3 linked regions of the Coturnix japonica genome follow. The protein of the gene in region 1 purifies or fractionates together with the protein of each later gene. This does not show direct contact. Links are inferred from orthologs where the notes say so. Each region holds a gene or a part of one and is shown in the gene's direction. Other genes may lie near its edges.

The links.
Region 2: the proteins of GRB2 (region 1) and MAP4K5 purify together in Homo sapiens (affinity purification with mass spectrometry; 7 studies listed by BioGRID and IntAct, counting the BioPlex papers as one, with this or other methods). This does not show direct contact. The link is inferred for Coturnix japonica from reciprocal best matches to the Homo sapiens genes GRB2 and MAP4K5.
Region 3: the proteins of GRB2 (region 1) and MYH9 purify together in Homo sapiens (affinity purification with mass spectrometry; 3 studies listed by BioGRID and IntAct, with this or other methods). This does not show direct contact. The link is inferred for Coturnix japonica from reciprocal best matches to the Homo sapiens genes GRB2 and MYH9.

The regions. Positions count from the first base shown.
Region 1 is NC_029533.1:9,419,846-9,423,589, reverse strand, and holds the start of GRB2 (growth factor receptor-bound protein 2), read left to right. Parts: upstream 1-1,037; 5' UTR 1,038-1,192; intron 1,193-3,340; exon of another isoform or gene 3,341-3,469; intron 3,470-3,744. UniProt on the Homo sapiens protein: Non-enzymatic adapter protein that plays a pivotal role in precisely regulated signaling cascades from cell surface receptors to cellular responses, including signaling transduction and gene expression.
Region 2 is NC_029520.1:52,486,194-52,489,937, reverse strand, and holds the start of MAP4K5 (mitogen-activated protein kinase kinase kinase kinase 5), read left to right. Parts: upstream 1-1,446; 5' UTR 1,447-1,850; coding exon 1,851-1,949; intron 1,950-3,744. UniProt on the Homo sapiens protein: May play a role in the response to environmental stress. Appears to act upstream of the JUN N-terminal pathway.
Region 3 is NC_029516.1:47,326,757-47,330,400, forward strand, and holds the end of MYH9 (myosin-9), read left to right. Parts: intron 1-688; coding exon 689-897; intron 898-1,332; coding exon 1,333-1,441; intron 1,442-1,659; coding exon 1,660-1,832; intron 1,833-1,991; coding exon 1,992-2,109; 3' UTR 2,110-3,614; downstream 3,615-3,644. UniProt on the Homo sapiens protein: Cellular myosin that appears to play a role in cytokinesis, cell shape, and specialized functions such as secretion and capping. Required for cortical actin clearance prior to oocyte exocytosis. Promotes cell motility in conjunction with S100A4.

The DNA.
Region 1 (3,744 bases):
CTTGAGTAGATGAAGTACTAACCAAAAGGACTTATGGTGCCTGTATAAATCAGCAGCATGTATGTCTGTATTATAGAGATTTCTTAATGTGACTCTTAAGCCTTCTAGGTTATTTAAATTGTGCTCCATGTGCACTTTAACATAGCACAGGAGCTAATAATAGTTTGTTTACACTTCTGTTTTTAAGGAATCTGAAATACAGATGCACTACATTATCACATCTTGTGCATGCTGTACTGTTCATTGTCCAACTGTGAATTTTGTTCCTACTGTTGCTGTAACAAACAACATGATTTTAATCAATTTTGCCATAGGGGCTTTGTCTTTTTTGAAACTGTGTGTGTGTGGGAAGCTGTGCTACTGGGAACTGCTTCAGGAGGATGGATCCGCCGGGTTCCTGCCCTGCTGGGAGCTTCAGGTGCTCGTCAGACTCGGGCAGTTTGCAGGTACCGGCCTGACCGCCACACGAGCCCTGACGTGCCGGGTGGGCGCTGAGGCGTTTCGCCCCGTGCGAGCGGGCCCAGCTGCCGCTTCAATGACAGGAACACCGAGTCCGTGTGCCCCGGAGCTACGCGTCGGAGCGTTCTGCCATTTGTTCGCTTCTTTCTCTCCTATCTCCTTCACAAGCCGCCGGGTATCGCTCCGCTGAGGGTAACGGCGCTGCGCGGGAGCCTCCGGCCCGAGGGGAAGGGAGGGCTTTGCAAGGGCCTCTATACAGGGCCGGGGCCGAAGGGGGAATATCCCAACTGAGGGAGCGCGGGCCCTCCCGAACTCGCCCCGCGGCGGGACGGAGCGCAGCCGCCGCCGCTCGGCCTGTACTCACCAGCCGCACCGGGCCGTCTCGGCGGGGAAGCCGCCCGGCCTCTCCCAGCGCCGCCGGGGCCGCCATCAGCGTCACTGGCGAACCGGGCCGCCACGGCGCTGGGGACTCGCGGCGGCTTCCTCAAGAAGCCGGTATCTGGTTGGTGGGATCCCGGGCGGCTGCCCGTACGCCGCTCGCTGATTGGTGAGGTCGGAGTAGCGCGCGAAGCCGAGCGGGCGCTTTGGCGGCGGGTCGCCCTGAGCAGCGGCGGCTCCTCACGGAGCGGCCACGTCTGACCCCGCCGCAGACGGACGGACGGCGGCCGGCACCTGCGGGAGCCGCTGTGTGTCACGGCCACCGGCCGGATGGAGGCAGCGCGGGAGCACTGAGGTGAGTGTCGCTGCGCAGGAAGCCGCGGGGCAGCGAGGCCGGTAACATGAGGAGAAATCTGAACCGCTGCGCAATATGGGAACGAAATCGGGGGTGACGCGGGGACGGCGCGTGGTGCCGCTGTGCTGAGCCCCGAGCTACCGGCAGAGCCGATACGGTTCGCGTGTGTCGTCATCCCCGTAGGTCGGCGCTCGTACGTCCCGGGTTGAGACGCGCTGCTCCGTGTGAGGATCCTCCTCACAGAAGCGCTGTTCGTCTGGTGATGAATTGCAGGTGCTGAAATTGTTTGTGCTTTGGTGGTAATGAGTTGCTGTAACCCTTCATAGTCGCTTAAAAGGAAATAGTGGCAGGTCTGGGGGATTTTCTGCTGTAGTTTAGACACGATACAGGGAAGGGGATACGTGAGATCGTGGGCTTAGTGCTGCGTGAGCCTCTTGTTAGTTCCTCTTCAGGTTGTTCCACCACCACAGCAAAATGTACCGAATTAGTAAAATGCTTTAAAGAAGAGGTTAAAGATGCATCTTGAACAGAGGTTTGGAGGCTGGATTACTTGGTTCCTGAGGCAGATTCCCCGTGGGTCTCAAGTAAGCTACTAATAAAAGCTACTTTTTCTCTGTGTTCTGAATAGATTTTTAAGATGTAGTCTTAAAATCTATTAGTAGCAGAAAATCACACATTGATTTGTCTAGGCTGCTCTGAGGCGTTTAAGAAAAGATCCAAGTGTCAGGCACCAAGTCTTCTCTTAAAAGTTCTTAAAATACTCAAAACTATTCTTAGATTGTTTTATCACCACAAATGGTCATAGAGAATTCAAGCTATTCCTGGACTAGCGCATAATTTGAAATCGATCCTCTAGTAAAACATGTCTTCCACCCGGGCTTACAGCTGTGCTGGGATTTCGGCTTTTGTCGCCGTGAAGCTGCTCTGGTATCTGTGCAGTAAGTTGTACATTTTAAAGTGTTCACGTGCTTGCGAGGAGGGGGAACAATCTACCTTCCCTGATCTGTAAGTGCATCTCAGCAGCTTCTTTATCAGAAGTATTTTTCCATAACACTTTGATCTCTGCTATTTCTAAAATCTGTTGATGACTTGCCCTTGTAGGGCTGCCCTTTTAAAGTCGGGCAGCTACAGCCTCTTACAGTAGCCGTGGTTCATGTGGCAGCTGTTGGCCATGTCTGGTTGTTCAAGTCCTGTGACAAGTACCTGCTGTCACTGCTGCGATTGTTGTTGAACTTACTGAGAAATTCTAAATCTTCCCTTTGAAGTCAGATGGTGAAACCAGAGACTCGAGGTCGGTGCTAGCGCGAGACTGGAGACATGTTGGAGTCGAGCTGTGGTTGCAGCAGTCTGTCATCCCCGATAAACGACTTGTGCATCCTCACAAACAATGCCTGAAACACGTGGAACATCCTCAGCTCCCAGGGCTCTTTTTCTCCACCCTCTATGGGGAGAGAACCGTCAGTAATTTGCTCGTGGCTGGTCAGTGCTTGTTCTGGGAAACTGGCACGCGATGGTGGGTTGTTTTGTCGTTAGTTTTGTTTTTTTGTTTTTAAAAAAGCCTTTTTCTAGGATTGCGAGTGCGGTTCTGGAAAGCCTGTTTCAGAAATAGCTTTTCTCCCTAGAGCATGAGGAAATATTCTTCATGCACTTGTGTTATTGAGGAATTGAGTATTTTAATTGCAGGCTCTTGGAGCTAAAGGAATTCTAAGAATGCTGTGCAATGAGACCTTGGGGTGACGGCACGTGCGCTCTGGGTCCTGCCCTGCGCACACTGTAAGGCCTGTTTTTCCCCTGCAGAGCTCGGAGCAGCCGGTTGCAGAGCTCCAGCTGTGGATCTCTGCACCCTCCCAGTTCCGAGGATCGCAGCGTTCATGCTCGGGTGCAGTTTCCGTAGCAGTAACGTTCCGAATGTGCTTGTCACTGCGCGGTGCAGGGCGCCCCGCGCTCAGTCCAGCAGAGGCGCACATACAACAGCGCATTACCGGCCCCGCGCAGCCCGGTCCCGGCTGCCGGTGCGAGCTGCGCGTGCGCGCAGGGGGCTGCCCGTCTGCCACGCGGGAGGTGGACGCGCATGCGCCGCAGCGCGGCGGGCGGAGCAGCGAGTTGGTGACAGGGCCGCTCTCGCGAGAGTTGCCGAGGGGACGGTGGCGGCGGCGGAGCGGGCGGAGGGGGAGCCGCGGGACGGGGCTGGAGCTCGGGCGGTGACCGGGGCGGCGCTGGAGGGGCGAGCGGGCGACGGCAAGCCTCGGGAGAGGCGGCGGCCCACAGCGCTGCGCGGTGAGTGCGGGGGAAGCGGGGGGGGGGCGCGTGTGGCGGGCCGGCGCCGGGCCGCCGATCCCCCCGCCCTCGACCCGCTCCGGTGAGCGGCAGGCTCCTCCGGCACAGGCCCGGCTTCCCGGGACGCCGAGCGTCGGCGAAGGGCGGCCCTCTCCGTCGCGGCCTGCGCTCCGCACGGCTCCGCCTCCTCTCCGTGCTCCGCGGTGCCGAGGCTGCGGGCCCGAGTCTGAGCTCGGGCTTCCCGAGGCGCTGCTCGCTGAGGCGCTGGCTGGGCG
Region 2 (3,744 bases), on another chromosome or scaffold:
ATCTGCTACTGGAAAACGAAACGGCCTTTCCTGTGCTGTCATCTGATGGCTTGACGGGAGCAGAAAGTCTGTCAGATGAAAAGTGGTGTTCAAATATGCAGCTGAGGAAGGGGGGGGAGGGAAAGGACACAAACAGCTCACTATCAGGAGTGCAGGAAGCCAATTTCTAGGGGAGAGGTAATTGTTTGGTTGGAAATGGCCAGAGGAAACACAGCCCCCTGAAGGGTAAATAGATTTTTTTCTTTATTTGCTGGGCGTTCAGGAAAACTTACGTATTGATGTTGGAGAGAACATACAGGATGTCGAGAGCTTTCAGAGCACAAGGGGAAATGAAATGTGAATCTCTTTAAGTTGGCAGTCACGTGCTTCCCTGGCGCTCTGGAAGCGAGGCAGTTTACATTTGGAGCCCGCTCCTGAAAAGCACCATTTCCAACGAGCCCATAAATCAAAGCCCAATAAAATCAGACGTGACTGTGCAATTCCTGAGCGTCAGCACACGCAGCCTTTGAGTTCAACCTCAAACGGTGCAATAATCCTAATGAGTTATGCCAGAGAGCCCGTGTTTGGAAGGAAAAGCTGACGCAATCGGCGGTGTGGTTTCAGGTACCTGCACGTGGCGCTCCCAAACGCGCTGTGCTAAGCTAAAAACAGGCTCCATTTGGAACTGGGAAGCTGCACCGAGCTGCTCTGTCAATGCATTGGGCCCAATGGGGCTGCCTGCCTGCCAAAGAGGCCCGAGCACCAAAAGGCCCAAACATCTGGCATCCATTTCATTCATCCTACCAAGCTTTTGCAAATATATTTCCTGCGTTGAGTACGTGGTGCTTTTTGCACCTCAGAACTCACACCTCCTTTTGTAGGCCTTAATGATTTTACTGCCTGATACCGCTGTGGATTCCAGCATTCCTCTGCTCCGTGGCTGGGCGCTTCGGTCTATTACATTGCACAGCAGCCATTTCAGAGAGCACGGGTGGGTTTTACTCAGACGTATGGCTGCTTTGCTGGAAGTAAAACCCAACCCAAAGCTCCCTGGTGCAACCTGAGGCCATGGCCTCACCGCATCACCAGCTGCAGCCCCACAGGCTGCATCGCCTTCTGCATTGCCACAGCCTGACAGATGGCAATGCTCCTCAGTGCTGTCTGCCATGAAGGAGGAAATATTCTGCCTTTACTAATCTGACTCCTGCCCTTTAGATATCGATATGCATCAATAGAACCCCTCAGCCTTCGGCCCGGGGCTCTCAGCCTGTCCCTATGGGGACGTGCCTCACACCCCGCTGCAGTTCTCTGTCTGCCTGGAGCTGCGGGCCCAGCACTCTAAAGGCGGCCATCCAGGGCAGGGCAGTGCAGTACGGGGACCCCGCCTGCCGCTCGGTGCAGCGCAGCGCTGTGAGGGCGGAGGAGGCGGTGAATGGCCGCGGGTCGGGGTCGGGATCCGCCGCTTCGTGGCGCTGCGGAGTCGCCGTCCCGTCCCGTCCCGTCCCGGCGCGGTGCGTGCGTGGGGCCGCGGCGGGAGCAGGAAGGAGGAGAAGGGAGGAGGAAGGAGGAGGAAGGAGGCGGCGGCGATCCCTCAGCGCCGGGACAAAGGGCCGCGCAGGTAGTGCGGGCAGGGCTGGGCTGGGCAGGCCGGCCTGGCTGCGGGGCCGCCGAGCCGCTCAGGGCCGGGACCCCCTCCCCGCAGAGCCGCGGCCAACGGCCGTTCCCAGCGCCCCTTTGTTTTGTCAGCCGCGGCCGAGACCCCTCCCCGGGAGGGTTGGCACTTCCCGGCGCCGCAGCCATGAGGGCCGAGGGCCGGTGGCCGTGCTGAGCGGCGGCCCGGAGCGGAGGGCGGCCCGCGGGGCCCCGCCGCCATGGAGCGGCCGAGCGGGGACATCATGCGGCGGAACCCGCAGCAGGACTACGAGCTGATCCAGCGCGTGGGGAGCGGCACCTACGGCGACGTCTACAAGGTAAGGGCGGCCCGAACGGAATCGGCCCCTTCTCCCGGCTCCGGGACGGGCCGGCGGCTCCAGGCCCCGCTCGGGGCGCTGCGGGCGGTGCTGTGCCCGGGGCTGAAGGCGGAGGGTATTTACCTGCTCGGAGAGCGCATCGCTTCGAGCACCTGATTAACACAGCGCGAGTTTATCCCCGGGGTTAATAATAGCCGCGAACCAGGAGCAGATTAAAGCTCTTCGGAAGCTGGAGCTCGCTGCTGGGCTCGCTCTGAAAGCCAACGGGTTCTGCTCAAACAGTTACAGCCACAGCGGTGTGGGCGTCCCACCTTCCTAATGTAGCCTTTCTCAGGCTGCTCAGATCTGGGGGTGCCCCAGGCCATGGAGGGTCCCTGGGCAGGCTGAGCAGAGGGGCAGGCAGCCCATGACAGGGTACCCAGGTGGCCTTTGAGTCCCTTCCAACCCAGCCATTTGCTGATGACACTATGAGCCCGTTCTATTTGTCAGGGATGCCCAGCAACTCTGTAACGTTTTTGGCTTTTGTGTCAGCAGTCCGAATTTCTGAGCTCCGTGGGCAGAATGGCTGTGATGTACTTCATAATGCTGCTGACTGTACGTGGAATAGGCCTGGTGTGATTGAGCTTAGGAGCGGAGGTGCGTGGCTGTGCCACATCAAAGGCTCTGGTAATTGCTGCGTGCTGGGGGAGGGCTGTTTGTTAATGTTCAAATTGGAGTTTTATAGTTGGATCTCATTCTCATCCCCCTTTGAAATGGTTACTCTTGGCCTCAGGGAGTTATTTTTAACTATTTCGTTTTCATGGTAATGGCTATTTACCTTCTTATTTTTTTCCTTAGAGTGCTGTGCACAGATCAGTTGGCTGAGGAGCTATGAGATCTGCTTTAGTAGCTTGTGGTAGCGGTGGTAATGGGAGGATGGTTGGATTAGATGATCTTGTAGGTCCTTTCCAACCTTGTGATTCTATGATTCTGTGACTTTGCTGGGAAATCTGGCCCATAATACTTAAAAGGGGCATCTCAGGTTTCATAAATCTGAAACATAGCGTGGCTTCAGCTGGTTTGTTTGGGTATAGCTGCACAGCGTAGGGCAGCGTGGTGAGAAGGGACTGGCTGTGTCTCAGGGAAGTGTTCTGCATCATCCCTTTGCTCCTCAAAAAGACACGTTCTTCTTCTCATTATGGTGCTAATGAGTGGAGAGCTGTGCTGACATGTCCTGTAGCTTCCAGTTCCGGAGCTGGCTGGATGCAGGGCCCTGCACTGTGCCCTGTAAATAGCATCCCCCCCTTCCCACCAAACCCTCCTCTCTTTGGGTCTTGGTAAGCATCCTTCTGTTCTGCAGGGGTCTCACTGATAAACCCTCTCCTAGTACAACCTGGGAAGTGTAAATCAAAGCCTTGGATGGAGTTTTACACTTCTAAATGAAGTGTGAAGTTAATGAGTCTAAAGTAGTTAGGGAGCCTGCTTGTGTTTCCAGGTCATTGGTGTGCTCTTTGCTTTCATAGAACCTTGCAAATGGGGAGGAACTGTGTCCAGGGAATACTGAATGGGATGGTGTGGGCTGTTATGGCAGATATGCAAAGCCAACTTCATTTTTACAAGCCATTGATGTTGTGTTCATGTTAAAAGTATCTAAGATAAACTTCTTTTCTTGGAAGCAGTTGATGTATAAACATTGTGCTTGGAGTTTTCTGTGTCCGTGGTAGGGCTCTTAGCACAGATGGCTCCCTGAGCCCTGTTTATAGAAAGCATTTCTTAGTCAATACCTGGTTGTTGTGATGTTTCAGAGCTCAGACAA
Region 3 (3,644 bases), on another chromosome or scaffold:
ACTATCCATATGGAATTTGTTAGGCTGCTATAGAAACGATGATCCTAATCTGCCTGTTCTCTGCTGTGCTTTATCTTTCCGACTTTAGGAGTCAGGCATGCTGTTCTGTTAGCTCTCTAAAGCCAAGAAGTTGGCTGATGGTTTTCCAAGTGGTGGCTCTACTCCAAAGAACATAACTTTCTCCTTGACTATCAGCCAGAGCGCTGGATTGGAAGTGGATTGAGTTTTTGCCCTTTTGTCTTTGAAAGTCAGTAGTTTCAGGCTGCTTCTTTGTTGTTGAAGCAGACATAGACAGCAAGTAAGCGATAGATCGCTAAAGCAGTAGAGCACGTGTATTGAATCCACTTGCCTTCAGGACGGATGCAGTTCACTAGGACTGGTAATTATTGCGTTAAGTGCCAAACTGCTCCTTCACCCGGGAGAGGCACATGATTGGCAAACATAGTCCTAAGAGAAGGTTGATAAGCCTGTTTTTCAAGTAATTACTTTTAAAAAATTGGAATAAGCTAAGAAGTTTTGAGTAGTAGTCTGCATCTCTGCCTACAGACAGCTCCTCCTGTAGCAGTTATTCCAGGTGTTCAGCTCACCCTGAGGGTCCTTTTTCTTTGCATGTCAGCATGTGTCTAAGAACAAAGTCAGCCTTTCACACTGGGACACCTGATATACAAAGGGCTGCTTCTCTCCACAGATTGATCAGATGAATGCCGACCTGAATGCTGAGCGCAGCAACGCACAGAAGAATGAGAATGCTCGCCAGCAGATGGAGCGCCAGAACAAGGAGCTTAAGCTTAAGCTGCAGGAGATGGAGAGCGCAGTGAAGTCCAAGTACAAGGCCACCATCACAGCCTTGGAAGCGAAGATAGTGCAGCTGGAAGAGCAGTTAGACATGGAGACCAAGTATGTCCTAGCCAGAACTCTGGTTGTTTTACAAGCACCCGCCCTCTCAGGAATTTTAAGCCCTTCTGAGCAAATTCTACCTTGTCTGTATGAGGGCCTCATCGTAGAGGTACTGGGTGGTGCATCCTTGCTCTCATTGTAGAGTCCTTTTGCTTCAGCCAAACTCAACCAGTCCTAAAGCTGCAGCTGTGATGCGCTGTTGCTGTTCCTCTGTAGCGTCAGGAGAAGTGTCTGTGGTGCCAATACCTTTTAGTAGCTTTTAATCATCTCTAGGAAACCTTGCTTCCCATCCATTTTTTTTCTTTCTTCTTTTATAATAAAAAATTAGTGTGATTTCTGATATCCTCTTTGTTTCTAACTTACCTGTGTCAGGTCTTGATGGGGGGACAGCAGGGGGTAAATTCATATCTGAGCTGTCGCTGTATTTCTGTGCAGGGAGCGCCAGGCTGCCAGCAAGCAAGTGCGCCGTGCTGAGAAGAAGCTGAAAGATATATTGCTGCAGGTGGATGATGAGAGGCGTAATGCTGAGCAATTCAAAGATCAGGTGTGTTTGGTTACCTACAGCATTGTACTGTCTGCTGGTGGGAGGGTTCCTCTCCTATGGTCGAGGCATCCTCTGTATTTAAGAGGAAAAGCTTGGAGCTGCCAAGTCCGAGGCAGCTTCTTTCAGGAAGGGGAGACTTGGGAAACTGTCCTTATTGCCACTGTAACTGCTGTGCTGTAAGCGAGGGAGCGCTGATCTCTTTCCCTGCCCGTTCTCAGGCGGACAAGGCGAACATGCGCTTGAAGCAGCTGAAACGCCAGCTTGAGGAAGCAGAAGAGGAGGCCCAGCGAGCCAACGCGTCCCGCAGGAAACTCCAGCGCGAACTGGACGATGCCACTGAAACAGCTGATGCCATGAATAGAGAGGTCAGCTCCCTCAAGAGCAAACTCAGGTAAGGCAGAGCGTTTTGTGCGGTACCTTGGCACCCGGCACAGCATAGGCTTGCTGTAGCCACCCACAGCAAACAGTCTGTTTCCTTTTTCCCAAGCCTGCCGTGTCTGGTGTGTGGGGTGAATCTGGTGTTACTGATGTGCTGTCTGTCCTTCCCTAGGCGCGGGGACCTGCCCTTTGTTGTCACACGTCGGCTTGTCAGGAAGGGCACAGGAGAGTGCTCCGATGAGGAAGTGGACGGCAAGGCAGAAGCTGGTGATGCCAAAGCTACTGAATAAGTCCTCTCATTTTGCCCAGGTTACACACGATGGAACGACCCATCCACCCTCCCCTTTTCCATTGGACTTTCTGCAAACCCTCTCCTCTTAAATTGGCTGGGGATCTGCAGAGCAAGTCCGGCTCTGTGTATCTGGAGCCATTGGGCATCTGCGTTCCTCGTTTCCTCCTCTTTTCCAGTTTCCTAATCCTCTTTGTATTTAATGCCAAAGAGTTGGGGCTCTGAAATCTGAACGGCAGTTTGGCATCTTCAAAGTCGTGTAGAACTGTCTGTGCCACGTCTGCTGATGAATCCTTACACAATTTGGAGGGAGTGGGGTTAGGGAAAGATTATTTTTGCTGTAAATCTCCTTTTTGTCTTCAGATGCTAGCTGCAGGGAAGCTCCTTCCTGTATTCTTTCCCCTCCCTCTTTGTTTGCTTTCGGCAATCGTGTTCAGTGACCTCAGACTTCTGCCTCTTTTCATCTGCCCACCCACACGGTTTGGGAGCAGTTTCAGGAAAAACGGTGTGCTTTGGCCATGGCAACTCAGCCTTTCTTCTTTCACACGATTCCAGGGAGGGGTGAAGAGGGAAACAACCGTCACCCCAAACCCAAAACCCCCCCGGGACTACCTGGAGGACTTGCCAAAGTTGTCTTTTTTACAAAACAATTTCCTTCCCCTTTCTTTTTTTCTCCCCTTCCCTCCCCCCTCCTCCTCGTTTTTACTGTCTGGACAGATCTCTGAAGTGCAATGATGTCCTGTTAGTGTCTCTGCCTCTGAGCGGTTTCATCTAAGGTAGCGTGGACCAGTAGTTGATGACAGGCTGGGGAAGCAGAATGATGTCCTTGTGCTTGTCTGAGAATCTCTAGGGGACCAAATATATTTAATGGCAATAGAATCTAGGGGAATTTAATAGGGTAGCGGGCAGAGGGTGGGGATGAGGGGAGGGAAATCCCTCTTTTATTGACATGTCCGAGCCTCTTGCACCTGCTCTGTAACCAGGGGTTGGGATTAGTTATTGTGCACCATTGACTAAGAGTATATTAAAAACCCTTTAATCTGCACAGGTATATGTAAGGCCTTTGTATCTCTCGTAATAAGTAATTAAGATAAAAAAATAAAGGTCTTTATCACTGCCTTTCTATTGGGACCATGGTTATATAGAGATAGTCTTTACTTTTCTACACCGTACACTGGTTGCTGGATTTACCTGTATTCTTAACCATATTGTATATGCTGCATTTAGACCTACTTATGAGCAAAGTAAAGATAATTAAGGCTGGAGCACTGTGCTGTCTGCCTGGAGCGCTCTGAGTGCAGGAGCCTCGTGTCCCAATTGCTGTCACAAGGAAATTTTAATTTCTTTTTTTTTTAATTTTTTTTTTTTATATATATATAAATATATATATATAAAATAAAAGTGCCTTAGCATGTGCCTCAGCTGTGTGTCACCACTACAGTCAGTAATGGATTACTGGTGCTCCACTGATGTTACCAATAAAGATTATCCATGTGCTGCAGTCTATGTGCCTGCGTTGCCGTTCCCTCCTTCCCT